2 linked regions of the Alligator mississippiensis genome follow. The protein of the gene in region 1 binds, or shares a complex with, the protein of each later gene. Links are inferred from orthologs where the notes say so. Each region holds a gene or a part of one and is shown on either strand. Other genes may lie near its edges.

Evidence for each region. The genes of interacting proteins can lie anywhere in the genome.
Region 2: the proteins of CINP (region 1) and AIRIM are in contact, whole or in part, in a cryo-EM structure (PDB 8RHN), measured with the Homo sapiens proteins. The link is inferred for Alligator mississippiensis from reciprocal best matches to the Homo sapiens genes CINP and AIRIM. Residues at the interface, in NP_116019.1 of Homo sapiens: Leu161, Leu162, Thr165, Glu169, Asp177, Leu178, Leu180, Ser181, Tyr182, Ser184, Met185, His188, Pro190, Tyr191, Val192, Glu193, Ser194; in NP_001289959.1 of Homo sapiens: Leu107, Gln110, Ala113, Ala114, Asn116, Leu117, Phe119, Val122, Ala124, Leu125, Phe128, Pro129, Asp130, Leu131, Arg134, Leu135, Lys138, Gln139, Ala142.

The regions. Positions count from the first base shown.
Region 1 is NC_081825.1:285,087,522-285,095,491, forward strand, and holds the start of CINP (cyclin-dependent kinase 2-interacting protein), read right to left. Parts: upstream 3,194-7,970; 5' UTR 3,132-3,193; coding exon 3,125-3,131; intron 1,128-3,124; coding exon 959-1,127; intron 1-958. UniProt on the Homo sapiens protein: Component of the DNA replication complex, which interacts with two kinases, CDK2 and CDC7, thereby providing a functional and physical link between CDK2 and CDC7 during firing of the origins of replication.
Region 2 is NC_081829.1:1,028,422-1,036,075, reverse strand, and holds AIRIM (AFG2-interacting ribosome maturation factor), read left to right. Parts: upstream 1-5,109; coding exon 5,110-5,369; coding exon of another isoform or gene 5,370-5,474; coding exon 5,475-5,875; intron 5,876-5,927; coding exon of another isoform or gene 5,928-6,097; intron 6,098-6,177; coding exon 6,178-6,218; 3' UTR 6,219-6,554; downstream 6,555-7,654. Other genes in the region: CDCA8 (borealin), read right to left, coding at 531-629, 935-1,011, 2,247-2,383, 2,802-2,877, 3,720-3,760, 4,518-4,646, 4,847-5,628, 5,928-6,097. UniProt on the Homo sapiens protein: Part of the 55LCC heterohexameric ATPase complex which is chromatin-associated and promotes replisome proteostasis to maintain replication fork progression and genome stability.

The sequences.
Region 1 (7,970 bases):
TGTTCTCCACAATTCTAAGGCCTGCATCCTACAAGCCTCTTTTGTGACCAATAAGAGAACCAATGAGTGATTTCTTCAGGCTACCATCCAACACAGATTAGCACCAGATGACTCGGGAAGAGGTGAGAAGCCTACATTAGGCAGTAATGAAATAATCTGTTTACGGTGAAAGTTTCTTTCTAAACCCCACTAGTAATAGGTTACCTTATGCCCTAAAACAGGGATGGGCAATTATTTTGGCTGGAGGGTCACTTTAGGAACTTGGATAAACTATTTTGGGCTGGGGAGGGAGATTGGGGGTGGGAAGTGCTGGCCTAGCTTGGCACACGGCATCAATTGATATTATCTGGCCAGGGTATATCCACCTTGCACCTACCACTGTGGGTGCTGGACAGAGCAGGCAGGTGGGATCTCCATGAAGATCAGCCAGGACCCCTGTAGGCAGGGCACACTTGGACAGGCAGGGAGCAGTGTCCAGGAGTGGGACAGGTTGAGGGGCCAAGATCCCAAGGCAGTGACAGTGCAGGGTCTAGGGCAGAGCCATGATCTGCTCCCTGCAGTCCCATCCTACCCTCCTTGTGGGGCATACCTTGCCCACAGGGCTCCCAGCCAGTCTTAATGGACGCTGTGCCCTCCTGCTCCCTCGTGCCCCTGGTGGTGGCTGCAAGGCGGGTAGGCCAGAGTTGCCTGGGCAGCGGGGTTGGCTCTGGCAGCAGTGGAGATGCTAGTGGCAGCAGTCAAAAGGGGCTGCTCCTGAGAAGCAGAGTTTGACTGCCATGCTGCCCCTGCCCTGTGCCTGGGAGCAGTGGGACTGGCTGCGTGTGCCATGGCTGGGCTGTCCTCCGTTCCTGGGCTAGGCAGGGCCAAGTGACCTACTGCAGGCCAGATAAAATTCCTTGGCAAGCCAGATCTGGCCCATAGGTCATATTTTGCCATACTCACTGCGTGCCATACTCACTGTGCGCTAATTTTCAGGTTCACAATTTTGTTGGCGGCCGTGAAACCCTTATCATTCAAGCTCTCCCATTTCATCATTAAATTATGCCAATCTGCTGCATTATCCTTAATTTTCCTTGCGCTAACAGATAAAACAGGTCTTTTGGGAGTCACAACTGCAGGGCTCTTTGCTATGTAAAAAGGACAGAAAAAGCAGCTTTAAAACTTGTGACAAGGAACTGAAGTGCTGCTCCACCTGGTGATCATAGTTGCACGTGTCCATGTGATGTTTTCTTTGCTTCTCCCTTGGTGACAGCTGAGAAAATGAAACAGAATTTAGCAGAATGGCAGTAACTTAAGAGAGAGGTAGTCAGCTGTGTTGGTCTGAAGTCAGTCAGAAGGCAAGGTAGAGATACACCCTATAAACAAGATAAGATATAAAGAGAGAGCACATGCTTTGTGGGCTGATGCTCAATTTCTTAGATAAGCCCCACAATCCCAGAAACTGCCACAAGAACCAGGGGGGTTTCCCTCTTTTATATAGAAAATCATAGCAGAGAGGGCAGGGGCGGATCCACGGGGATGTGCACTGGTGCATTTGTGCCCCTTTTGATTCCTGATCTACCAAAAATTTAAAACCAACTTCCTGGCCATGCCAGCAGCATTTTTAGTTAGGCAGCTGAGAGAGTCACTTGACTTCATGACTCATTATAATCTACCTGATCCTTTCTAAACTCTTCATTCCACAGGTGTTAATGACCCTCTCTTCTTTTTAATAGTCTTCATGGTCCACTAGTGTAGACTCATTCCAATGAAGTTTGACTTGTTTACTTGTTTCTGCTTCAATTTTAAAGTGAATAATGCAGCCCTAGGCCCCTAGTGGATGAATAAAGCTTCTGGTTTATTTTTAACTGGAGAAAAATGTGTGATGTTTTTTATGCAATGATGCACCTCTCCCTCTTCACCCCCCTTTTCACCATCACAGATCTGCCATAAATCGAGGGGCAGGAATTGGTAGTTGCTACAGGAACAGCAACAATTGTGGGCACATACCCTTGCTACCAACATGGGGTCCTGCCGCACATTCCCACAAAAGCTGGGCAGCAACCAGCTGTAGAGCTGACACACATGTTCAAGCAGTAACTCTATTGCAACTTAGTACTTTTTTAGAGCCAGCTAGTCCCCTTTTTTCTCCTGTGACAATTACTTCACATGTAGACGGTCTATGAGTATTATGCAGTTCACTGAGCAATGCATACAAATAATAGCATGTGGCTGGTCTGTGTGCAGTACGTGATTCATTACACCACTGGCAACGCGTAGGGGGTGCACCCCCTGGAAGTGCCAGCTGCGAAACCAGAAATGCCCCTCTCCCCCGCCATTGGCAATCTGGTGCCTCCCCAGACTTGGGAGACACCTGTCGCCCATACTTGCACGGTACATGTAATGTGTGACTGGTCTACATGTAACACACGGCAAACTGCGGTACATGTAGCATGTGGCCAGTCGACATTTACTGTGCAGTTCATTGTGCCATACATGTAATGTGGGTGGTCTACTCATGTAACGTATGATTCATGGTGCAATACATGTACTACATAGTGTTTCGCCAGTCTGTGTGTACTGCACAATATATGTAATGTGTGGCTGGTCTACATGTAGCACATGGATCACTGCACAACACATCACGCATGACAAGTCTACGTGTCATGCACAGTTCATTGTGCAATACATGTAATGGGTGACCGGTCTATATTTAGTGTATGGGCCATTGTGCAACATGTAACATGTGACCAGTCCATGTGTGCTGCATGGTTCATTGCACGATGCATGTAACATGTGACCGGTCTACGTGCAGTGCACAGTATTACACCATGAACGTGTAATGTGTGACCAGTCCACTGCACTACACATGTAACGTGTGACCGGTCTACGTGCAGCACACAGTATTACACCATGAACATGTAACGTGTGCCCAGTCCACTGCACTACACATGTAACGTGTGCCCAGTCCACATGCAGTGCAGGGTTCATGGCGCAACCTGCAATACGCAGCGTGTGGCTGTACCGCGCACTACATGTAACGTGTAGCAGGGGCCTCCCCCCGCCCCAGACAAGCCCCGGGCCGCCCGGCAGCGGCTCCTCCAGGCCCGCGCAAACCCCCCGCCCGGCCCGGCTCAGCTCTCACCTGCCATCGCCGCCCGCCATGACCCGGCCTGGTCCCGCCCCGGAAGTGAGCTCACGTCCGCCCCCGCCCCGCCCCCCGGCGGCCGCGGCTCGGAGCGGCGCAGCGGCGGCTGCTGTTCTCCGTCGCCCCCGCCCGGCCCCGCCCCCGCCCCCGCCCCGCCGGGCCCCGCGCTGAGGTGAGTGCGGCGGCGGCGCCTCCGCTGGGCGCTGTCTCGCGGGGCGGGAGGGCCTCGGGCGTCGCTCCGCGTCTGTTGCCCCGGCCCCGCGGCGGAGCCGAGGTGGGGATTCTCGAGGGGCCGGGGCTGCGGGGCCCTGCCAGCGTCCGGCCCGGGCCGCTCCCGGGGTGCTCAGTACCCGCCTGGCCGAGGCAGGGGGAAGGAGCGGTCCAGGCTGTGCCGGGCCGGGCCGGCCCCTGCGGGGGTTGAGCCGCTTGAGGGGGGGAAGGTGAGGGTGGGCTGCGCACGCCCAGGGCGCTGTTGTCGTGCGAGAGCCGTGCAGAGCCACGCAGCGTCCAGGCAGCGCAGTGACCGTGAGAGTCCAGAAACGATGCGAAATGGAAGGAAGGGCTTCATAGGGCGATCGCTTTGAGCAGACCCGCTGTGGAGCTGGCATCAAGTTTGATGAGCCTTCGAATGCAGGACGGTCTTCATCAGTGGTGGCCTGAGGGGAGGGCAAACCGGGCAGCTGCGCAGGGCCCCCACGCTTTATAAAAATAAAAATGAACGATACTGAATATTTGTATCCTCAATAAGGTATTAAGATACTTGCATTGCAGTTTCGTGGATAGGGCTATGTGAAATTGAAATAAAAAATGTCTGACTTGCTTATAGGTCAACAAAATTAAGCCTTCAAGGGGCCCCAAATGCCTCACTTGACCAGAGCCCCAGCAGCCCTAAGGCCACCGCTGTTTTTGTCAGGCCACCTCAGGGGTGTGGCTGCGTGTGTGCCGGGGTCCTCGGCCCTGCCACACCTTGCGATGGGGGCTGGGCAGAAGCCAGCTCCAGGGGTGGCTGTAGGGGTGCGGGGACACGGCTCTGACTCACTGTAGTTACAGCACGTCAGAGCAGACTTGGTTCAAGTTGTATGAATTAACGCACGCCAGCTGCCTTTGTGTCTCATGAATTCAGCATCCCCATACTTCAAAATGGAGGTGGGGGCACTTCAACTAAAGCTCACTGAACGAGCTTTACTTAAAGTGCCTCCACTGCTGTTTTGAAGTGCAGGATACTGAATACATGAGCTGCTGCAGGTGCTTTAATTAGAGTGCCCCCAGCCCCAGAGCATGTGTAAAGATGCTCTAAGAGTTATCACACATTTTTAAGCGCTAACTTTGGAGGGGGTTGGCTCTTTTTAGAGCTGGTGCCTCCTTTTTCTCATGTGATTGTTACTTTGTACATGTGGCCGGTCTACATTTATTGCGCAATTTGCCACTCAGTTGCATAGTACATACAGCATGTAGTAGGTGCCTCAAGCACTAACTTTATAGCTGTTTGGTGATTTTTAGAGCTGGCTAGTCATTTTATCACGTGATAATTACATTGCAGGTGTGGCCAGTCTAAATTTATTGCATAGTTCACCAATGAATTGCATAATATATGTAATATAGCAGGGGCCTATAAGTCAGTCTTGTACGACAGCTACCTTGTGTGCTAGTATAGGCCCTGCTACATGTTCATATGAAAGCTGGATAGAACCCAGCTGTCATGCATTTTCAAGTACAGATTTTATATCAGGTTGGCTCTTTTTAGAGCTGGCTAGTAATTTTTATCGTGTGACAGTTGCTTCGCTTTTGTGGCCAGGCTAAATCTATTGTGAGATTAGCCAGTTAATTGCGTAATATGTACCCTGTAGCAGGGGCCTCAAGCACTACCTTTATGTTGGCATTTTTATAGTCATTTTTATCATGTGACAGTTACTTTGCACTTGTGGCCAGTCTCACTTTGCATGTGTGGCCGGTCTAAACTTATTGTGCAATTAACCAGTTAATTGCATAACATGTAGCAGGGGCCTTTAAGTTGAAGTCTTGCACAGCAATTTTCTTGCATGCTAGTAAGGAAATGGCCTGGAAACACATACTGTTAAAGTGCCTGGTTTCTTGGTTCAAGGATGAATGTAAAATTGTTGTAGATGACAACACTATAGACTGGTGGTTTTCAGCCTGTAGTCTGCGGATTCCTGGGGGTCCACAGACTATGTCTAAGGGGCCCATAAAAGATGACTGTGATCAATTAAAAGTGTGTGAATACCCACACTTATAATTCAAAGGGGTCCCACTCCCTACCTCCATTCAACATTTTTTGGGGCCTGCAAATGAAAGAAGGTTGGACGGAAGGACAGGTACACAGACTGGCCTTTTATATCTGTGAGCTGGGTCTAGACATGCTGGGAAGGTGTGCTGAGATGGGTATGGTTGTAGGCAGATCTAAAATTTTGAAAAGCGGGGTGCAGAGGGGCAGGTGCGTCATCACATATAAAACAACATCTGTTTTTTTCCAGTTAAAAATAAACTAGAAGTGTTACTAATATGCTAGGGGACTAGGGCTGTGTTATTCAGTTTAAAATGGAAGCAAAAACAAATCAAACTTAATTGGAATGAGTTAGAAAGCATCTGCAGGGCTGTGAAATAGGCATTTCAGTACCAGGAGCAGCGAACATATAGCAGAACAAAGGATAGCTTGATTGGTGTAAGATCAAGACCAACCTTCTCAACCTTATTCGTTCTGGGACCCGTTTGCCAAGATCGATGTCTTATCCCAAGCCGCCCACAACCCCCAGGCCCTGCTGATGCCTGACCCAAAGTTCCCTGCCAGCTCCCCTCACCCCCAAGCCACAAACCCTTCTCCCCCCCCGCCCTCCCCCCCGGGCCATGCTGGTGTCCTTCACTCCCAATCCATAGTCCTTTACCTCCCAGCCCTGCTGCTGGGGCTCCCAGCTGCCCCCATCCTGTTTGGGCCAGAGCATGAGCAGTGAGTATGTGTATAGGCAGTGGCCCTGTGCTGCCCACCCAGGCATGCAGCTCCCCTCTGTGAAGAACCACCCCTGCCTTCTTTTCCTGCTAAAGGGCCAGGCACCCTTTCCTTGCCGCTCCCCCTGCCCTGCCACAGTCCTGCCTCTGGCCACTGTCCTCAGTACCTGTGTGACACGCATGCACATGTGCACACACACACCCCAGCCCTCTGGACAGTCCCCTGGACTTCCATCTCCCGCTTCTCATACACTTACCTGTGTCCAGCTGCTGGGGCTGCTCCCACGACCTAGCCTTGTGGCATGCTGGCCATGTGCGTCTGTGCGTGCAGGTGCATGTGCGCCTGCTGTTTCCATACATCCTAAGCAGCTCTAGCAGGCTGGAACACTGCCAGCCTGCAAGGGGAAACCTGCACTTTCGTGGGTTTTTCTGGGACTTCCTTGCAACCCTTTCAAATATTCTTGCAACCCACTTTTGGGGCGCGATCCACCGGTTGAGAAATGCTGATCAAGACCATTAAAAAGGAGAAGGTCATTAACACCTGTGGAATGAAAATTTTAGAGGGGAGCAGGTAAATGACAAGAAGCCATGAAGTCAAGCGACTCCCTCAGTGCTGCCTGACTAGTAATGCTGCTGTCATTATCAGGCAGTTGGTTTTAAACTTTGCATAGAGCAGGAATCAAATGGAGGTGCAAGTGCACCAGTGCATTCCTGGATCCACCCCTAGGTAACATTTTTGTGATGTTGAACAACACTGTGGTTTGTTATTTGTGTGTGTGGCATTGGTTTTGCAAATGTGTGTGTTTAATTTTTGTAGCAGACTGGTATTTCTAGGCCTTGGTTTTCTAGAACATTGTTTTAGGTGTGGAATGTTCTTTGGCTCTGGACGCAGAAGCGGCTGCTTAAAATTCCTCCACAGTAAACATTTTGTATTGTGAGACAATATCTTTAAGCTTGCTAGCCATGAATCCAAAATATCAAGAACAACTTTGGCCAATCTTGGAGTCCATTTAAACATGGGTAATAATGGAAAATGCAATCATCTTGAGTTTGTAATAGAAGGTGAAATTTTTGTTGTTGTTGTTGTTAATAGGCAACTCACTTGATGTTACAGTCTCATTCTGAAGTATTTTAATGGAATATAAACTGCAGATTAAAACAAACTAAGTGCCCAAATGGAAAATAACTCAGTGGAAGAAGGTTTGCAAGTTGCATTTTTTGTTACAGAACTTAGAGGAGTGGTTCTCGATTGAGGTACCATGAGATCTTCTTGGGGGTGCTGTGGAAGCAGAGGCAGAGAGGACAGTTTTACGTGCTCACCTCTTTCTGGGAGAAAAGTGAGGGATGAGGGTCTGGACCAGGTAGGGCTACAGCTTAAGCCAGCTCTGTCTGCTTTAGGGATATCAGAGAATCCTAATGGAGGAGGAGCATGTGCACATGTCACAGCCAGTCCTGGTCTGCCTCTGCAGCATGTATATGGGACAGCTCTAACTGGAGGCAGCATCACCCAATTGAGAAATACTGAGGTAAGTTGAGGAAGCACCAATAGTGGTTCTCAACCAGGGGTGCCAACATATTCAAAAAATTGATGGAGAGGTGCCCTTTGCTCTGAAACAGTTGAGAACCACTTGCTTAGCGGTTTCAACTGAGATCAGAATCCATTGTATAGGTGCTGGGCAAAATCATATGAGTTCATCCCTCCTGTAAAGACCTTAAATTTATTTTAAAAGGCAATTCAGGAAAAGATAAGAAAAAGGAAATACTCTTTGTAGTAGAAAGAAGAAGCAGATACGCAGTGAGATATAGCAAACTTATTTGATCACACACAAAGTTTGTGGGAGAGTCTGAAATTGAACCCTTATCCCCCAAGTCCAAGTCTGGT
Region 2 (7,654 bases), on another chromosome or scaffold:
AAGGCCTGAACATGTTGAGCAGAAGTTCAGACAAGTAGGAGAAAGGAAAGGGTGGGGGGAGGGTGCTGAAGGGGGAGAGGAGTCATCACCTTGCCCATTGTAAAGTATAAGCCTGAACATAGCAGAGTGTGGGAGTTATGAAGTCTCCACTTTTAATTCTTACCCCTGGGTACGGACTCCCCCTGACTCCTGGGTACGGACCCCCCCTGACACTAGTCAAATAAGCTCACTTCTTTGGCTCCAGGATCCCACCCCATTCTGCAAAGTGCAGACAGTACTGCAGTACGAGCCCTTATGGGAGCGGGGAGAGATCATGGAGCCTAGCACTGCAATACTGGTGTATGCTAATTGCTCTATTATATCAACAGATCTAAAGTCGCTGCTGTAGAGTAGTGTTGCCCAAGAGCAACAAATTGATGCATATGGAAGCAGGTGGGACAGGACTGTGCAGAACAGATAGCAAGGCAATCTTTCACAGCAGGCATGAAAAAAGAGAGGTAAATAGTTCTGCTGACAAAATGGACATTCACCTGGAATCAAACCTGGAAAGGACCGCAGAGGTACTGCCCTGCGTGCAGGCATCCAATGCTCGGCCAACAGCTGGAGTGGAATAATTACTTTTGCTTGTCCTGTGCAAGAGGTGACATTAGTAAGGAAATGCTCCTTTGAAGAGTGATCGTTTTGCAGGTTTTAGAGGCATGAATGATGGAGGTCTTTGGAAAAAAGCCAGAAGATAACGAAAGCTTTGCAAATACAAAGAGAAGTACTTCACCACCCAGGAGACTGTGCTCCAAGGAACGCCTCCGCTTGCTACTCCCAGAGCATGGCACATCTGTGCCAGCCGCATCAGCCCCTGCTCCTTCCCACCTGCCAGTGCACTGGCAACAGGACCTTCTGGTCTCTCCTCCCCCTACCAACGGTACTCCCTTGTTACCTTTTATTAGCAGCTTTTACTTTCGCTGAAGGACACCTTCTGCTCCTAGATGGAGGCCTTTTGGCTGCTGCCTTTGCCTGAAACATGAGCCAGTGAATTATTTACTATTTTGGGACCTAGCCACAATTCATGGAAGTATAGAAGAATAGGGCTGGAAGGATCTCCTCTTCCAAGCGTCACCATAACTAAGCCAACTTTGACAACGAGAGCTAAAAAAAAACCTCACGGGGTGCGTCTACACGAGATGCTTTACTGTGGAGCTGACCAATTAGCCCCGCAGTAAAGCGTCAGCGTCTACACATGCGGTGCTATTAGGCCGGAGTAAATTAAAACGAACTCTGCTGTAGGACAGTACTGCCCAAAACAAGTACTACCCTACGGTGGAGTTCAGTCTGCTGCAACACGCGTGCAGAAGCTGACCTGGCTGGCTGGGGCATGAGGTTGTTTCAGTGCAGGGGCTGCCTGCCAGCTAGCCCCACTGGAGCACCCTTGTGCTCCAGCCAGCTCCTCTGCAGCACGTTGAGTTGGGGTGGAGTAGCCCTGGGCTGGCAGGCTGACCCCCCAGACTCTCTGCCAGCTGGGGCTGCTCCACCCTGGTTCAACGTGCTGCGGCCCCAGGCGCTCATGCAAACATGGTGCCTGGGAGTAATAAGCTCCAGTGCAAACGGTGCTGGAGTTTATTGCTCGGCCCCAATTGCATGTGTAGACGCCTACTGTCCCCTTCCCAGCCAAGGAAACTGTAAAAAGAGACATTTCCCCTTAGAGGCTTTATCATAGCCTAGAGCTAAGACGTGGAGAATCTCAACATTAGGGCTTGTATTTTGATCCTTGCTAAAGGCGCCTGCACCCTGCGTAAGCCTGAACATTGTAACCGAGAGAAGAAACAGCTACAAAATGTTTCCCTGCATTGTCAAAACTTAATGAGTCCTAGGTATCACCTATTTCAAGTTACCCTGAGGCTTGTTCTGTGTTTGCTTTCCCAAACAAACTAGGACATCTGACTGCAGACAGCACTGTCAGTTGCACAAAGAAAAAAAAGAGTCTCTCAAATGTTACTAATACAACAGAGAACATTTTCACAGACATGCTTTAAAATCCCATCCTGGAAAGACGTATAGCTTACCGATTCCATATTTTTGCAAAATAAAAAAAGCTCCGTGCAGTGTCACAAGTGGAAGTGGGCGTTTGTTATTTAAGCAGAACAGAGGTATTCTGTTGTGAGCAGTACTAGGCAAGTCTACAAGCATTATCCCAACCACTATTCAGTCCTTTTTTGACTGGGCTTTTGCCAAAATAAAAATCATCCGCTTACCTTTTCAGTCCTTGGCTGGGTATTTTCAGATTTTGGCTCTTCAAGGGCTTGGCTCTCCTGCCTGCTTTTCTTTGAAGCAGGGAGCAAACAGAACTCGGTTTCTTCAAAAGCTCCAATGTCTTTTTTGGATTTTCCAGCTAGAAAGAAAAGAAAAACGTCCATATTAGACGGAGGTGCACTTGCATGTAAATCAAGGGCAATTCAAATGACTAATGATTCTTCTTCACCGAGCTGTTCCTTTGTGGATATTTTGGGGGGCAGTTATTGAGAACACTGTAGAAGGACAAATGGGATTTCAGAAGGAAAGATGGCGTATTGAAGGCTCAGATAAGTGCAGAGAATGCTTCTGAAAGATATAGCAAACCTAAGAAAAGACTCCCCAGATATAAAACCACCACATCATCTGGAAATATGGTGTCTTTTCATCCTACTTTGGGCAGTGAATCAGAGCTGAAATAATTCAGCTGATAAGACCAGTAAGCAAAACCGCAGTCACGCAGCCCGTGCATCTGACCGCACACAGGGCTACCTAACAACCCTTACAAACCAACTGACCTTTCTTGATCGTTTTGAAAGGCGTCTGGATGACTTTTGCTGTGATTTTGTTTATTTCTGATATTTCCACATCTGCCTAAAACCAGAAAGAAATCACAACCAGAGATATGTTATTGCTGAAACCAAATGCACTCATACTTTTAATAGTTTACAAGACTACAGCATCAATCCCAAATTGCTTTTAAAACAAAGGTTCATCTGGGTTTCTTGGCACTTGGCTGTATTCATGTACGGGGCTTTTACAGCACGTTAGGAAAGATAGCAGCTGGCAGGACCTGCCTGCTATCTAGTCCCAGAGCTTTATTTCAGCTTTCCCAGTCACCCGTCTCATGCCAACCCAAGCCCAAACTGGAGTGTTTTTTGGTCTGTATAAGTACGTGATCTCTGGTGGCTCAATGGCAGAGACCAGAGACTGCTCGGCCCTCTGTCTGGGCGCACTGCTGATACACAGGCTTGGAAAAAAAGGCTTCCCATAAAGCAAGATTACTGAAAAAGAAATGAAGACATCATGTAATATGGACGCTAAGGGAGAGATCTCAGAACACTGCCTTTCCTGGTCCTCTTTGAAAAGGTCAATGGTTTATTAAACCCACCGTTTAATAAAACCTCTACTTGAGCTGGTGCCAACTTTTGGAAACAAGGATTGGTGGCTGACAAGAGGCGACCTGCACCACGCCCTTAGGACACGGGTGGGTGTCCTGCCAAAATGCTTACTGCGTTCTGGCAAGCCACCGAGGGCTGCCTGACAAGCAGCCAGGGCCAGATACATTTTTAGGGGCCCCGCGGGCTGGATAACACGTCCTGGCGGGCTGCATTTTGCCCACCCCCGCCTTAGGATAACCGAGCACGTCAGATGCAGCAAATATCTTCCGAGGGGTTTGCATTGAGTGAAAACAGTGAGGCAAGTTTCCTGCTTACCGTTGCTGCCTCTTCTAGGGCTTTTTTACTTCCTCCTTTAGCTAGAAAGAGAACGTTTATCTTCATAAATAGGCGAACTAGAGACATTTGCGTCATGTGCTAGTTATATATTAAAGCATACGTTTTAAAAGCAAGCAACACCTAGCGGAAAAGGAAGACGGCCGGCAGGCCTGGAGCAGCCCACGGCACAAACCGCAACGCCCCAGCCTCGCAGTGTCCTGCCGAGGCGATTCAGGAAGGATGCCCTGGCTGGAGAACTTGGGGACGAGAAGACAACGTGACTTTTCACTGCTTCGCCCCAATGCCAGCCTTCACCTACCGGCACGTTTAAGGCAGCCAAAAGCTAACGCATTTTGGAACTTTTTTGAACAATAAGCATTTAGGTGAAAATTAAAACGGATGATCCCGTGCGACACGGCAAGATCTCCTGCGTGCTGCGGCACAGGAGACCACGCCGTGCGCGGGGGGCCTTAATCTAGCCCCACATTACACGTCAGTATTCGGGTATCCAGCTTGTAGCTGGATTGGTCCCGAAAAAAAAGAAATCCGGGCTCACGGTAGAGGTGATCCCTCTCGTTAGACCAACTCGATTAAAAAAACTAAATCTTTAATTGCAGCTTTCGGGCACAAACGTCCTCCGAACCCGGAAACTTGCCATTAAAGATGGGTTTTTTTTGCAAAACCCGTGTTGGTCTAAGGAGGGAGATCGCCGCCGCCAGGAGCCCGGGCTGCGCGCCCGCCCCGCACGGCTCGTGAACCCCGCCGACCGCGTCCGCCCCGCGACGCGACGCGACGCACCGAAGTAGCCGAGCCAGTTCATCTCTCGCAGCGCGACGGGAAGCCGGAGCAGCTCGATGTCGTAAAGCTTCTCCAGCTCCTTGATGAGGCTCTGCCCGTCCGCCTGCACCCGGGACAGCCGGCTCTGCACTGGACACAGATGCGCGGCGCGGTGATGTGAGCGGGATCGCGCCGGGCCGGCGCCTCCGCCTCCCCCGAAACCCCTTCGCGCGCCCCCAGGGAGGGGGGCTGCAGCCTGCGCCCCCCCCTTTGCACCCCCTCCCCTCCCCCAACAGACTCCCTTCCCTTCCCCCACCCTTGCAGCCCCACCCCCCATACAGGCCCCGCACCCTCGCGGTCGAAGTCCTTGAGGAAGGCGGCGAGCTTCCTCTTGCGGGCACCGCCATTGTTGCGGGAGCGGGAGGGCGCCATGGGGCCGTGAGCGAGACGGGAGTCAGAGCCGCCTTCGCCGCCGCCGCGTTCAAACCGGCCCCGCCCCCGCGCTCTGCCAATCCGCGCCCGCGCCGCGCGTGACGCCAGCACGTCCCGACCCCTCCCGCGGGCGCCCCGGAAGCGGTCGGCGGCGCGCGGGGTCACTTCCGGCGCGGCTGTGATGGCGGAGGCGCGGGTGCGGGGCGCGTTGCAGGCGGAGGCGGCGGCGCTGCGGGCGGGGGCGGCGGGCTGGCGGGCGGCGCTGGCGGCGGTGGCGCCGCTGCTGGACGCGCTGGCCAACCTGGCGGCGCAGATGCGGGCGGCGCGGCGCGTGGCCCTGCCCCGCACCCCCCTGCGCGCCTTCCCCGCGCTCGGCCCGCGCCTCCGCCACAAGCAGCGCGGCGCCGCCACGGCCCTGCGCCACCGCCTCGCCCGCAACCTGTGAGCTCTGTGGGGGGGCGGGGCGGGGCGGGGCGGGGCCGGGCTGTGGGAGGGGCTTGGCGGTGGGCTCCTCCCCCTCGCCCTCACCGCGGCCCGTCGCCGCAGGGCGGCGCTGCAGCAGGTGCGGGACGCGGCGAGCGGGCGCGTGGGCGCCGTCTTCCAGCTGTACGAGGCGGCGGCGGCGGCGGGGGAGCTGGGGCTGGCGGCGGCCGTGCGGCGCTCGGCGCTGAGCCCCTCCTTGGCGGACGCGCTGGCCTGGCTGCGGGACGCGGAGCGCTGCTACCGGCAGGCGTATCCTTCCCGGCGGCGGGGGTCGGGCCGTGGGAGCAGGCGCTGCCTGCGGTGTTGTCCGTCGTGCTCCCCACGTGGGACCTTAGCTCCGGCAAGGTACCTGGAGTGCGAGCTGCTCCTGCTCCGCGCGCACCGCGAGGACTTGTCGGAAATGGAGGCGCTGCCGCGGGCCTGGGGGAGGCTGTTGGAGCGCCACAACCCGGACGTCGTGGAAGGTAACGGGAAGCTGCCGCGCGGGGGCCGTTACCGCTGGCCGTGCGCGCGCACCTCTGCTCGGACCGGGACCGAACCGGCCACGCGGTCGTTTTACGGGGACTGCCGGACTCGGAGCGCGGCCTCCGACAAGGGAAAGGCCGCGTCTCCTGTTGCATGAGTTGCCCAAAGGCCCGCTCTCGCTGCTGGGAGCGAATTGAGATGGGGTGCGTCTCCGTCTCCATCTGCGTCTGTGACCCCAAACGCCGCGGCACGGCGCGGCCCGGCACTAACGGCTCTTTCCTTTCCTTCCTTCCCAACTCAGACGCTCTGCTGAAGGCCTCGCTCTTCCTGGAGACCGGGTGAGAGCTGCGTCCTCGCGCTGCCCAGCCGGCAGAGAGGACGGCAGGGACCTCGGAGCAGCGCCCAGGCCCAGGCTTTGCGGCGAGCAGGGGGAGCCTGGCCGCGGTCGGTCGGTGGGTGGAGGGCCGGGCGCACCCTGCTCTGAGCTGTTTTAGGAGGCTCTTGCCGAGTGGGATGAGCCTGTCTGACGGCTGAGGGGCGAGCAGGCCCTGTTGCATCAGCGGTCTTGTTCTTGGAGGACATGGGAGGAAGGTTATCTTTGGTCCCGGGAGACCCAGTAATACCTGCTCTCACAGGTGTCTTGGATATTAAAGGCAAAACAGTGCGCATGGAAAAAAATCCAGGAGTGCTTGTCTGGTGATTAAAGGGGGTTTCAGGTGTTAATACATGCTAGAGCCATCGCGCACACGCTTCAGCTCCTGCCTTTGTGGGCCAACCGCAGCTTGCTGAACCAGGGAGTTGGCAGTGGGAGGTTGGTGTGTATTCCCCGGTATCCCACCCTTCCAGACAGGCCCTCGGTTTCCTTTTCTGTTTGTGGGGCCTTACAGCAGCACCGAGGAAGAAAGGGGCACGTTGAGGATGTGCTTGCGAAGCCCCAGAAACGCAGCTCCGGAAATCACATCTAACACTTAAGCGACTCATTTTCTAAACTGCGTCGCGGTGCGTGCAGCACGTGCGTGCTCTCGGTCACACGGTGCTAAGCGCCTTTCCCCAGCGGGGGTTCCCACTTTCCTGAAGCTCCCTGCGCTACAAGATAAACTGACCGGTATGTTAAAATAAGCTACCTCTGCCGATGGGGATAAGCTGCTCCAACCACAGTGAGGCAGCATCTCGAGGAGCTCGCCCTGCCCGGTGCCAGTCGCTTTCCCTTTGGCACAGTCTCTTTACGGGTTGAACCCGGGGCTTTCCCAGAGCAGAGAGAATCCGTTGTGTTGAGCTGCCCCTTCTAGGGGGATTGGCGTTTCTTACCGTGATTAGGGGCAGCGTGGCCCTGCCGGGTGCTGAGGCTGAGAGATGGTTTTGCCATATATTCTCTAGAGCAAGGTGATGTCCCTTGGGTTTGGAAGATGGGTGTCCACCAGGGGGTAGCATCGGCCTTTCCTCTGCTAAGATTCATCCCTTCCACCTGTTTCCATGTACAAGGAGTAAGTTGCTGCCAGAAAAAGGGAAGGCCTTGCTGTAAACGGGAGAGAACTGCCCATAGCAGCCCTGCTTCCTTGGCAAGGTGGCAGTAGTGACACGCTGGCCCCCGCTGAAGCAGATCCCCCTCTCCTCTGAGACTGACGTATGGGATTCTTAGGGGAGGATGACAAATGTCCTGTAAATGCTCCAGTGTGGGCATCTGCTGCCCCTGGGGCTGAGACAGCAGAGCACTGTTTTGCACTTGCTAGTAGCATTTGTCACTGGCTTCTGGGAGAGCGGTTTCTCCTGGGACAAGG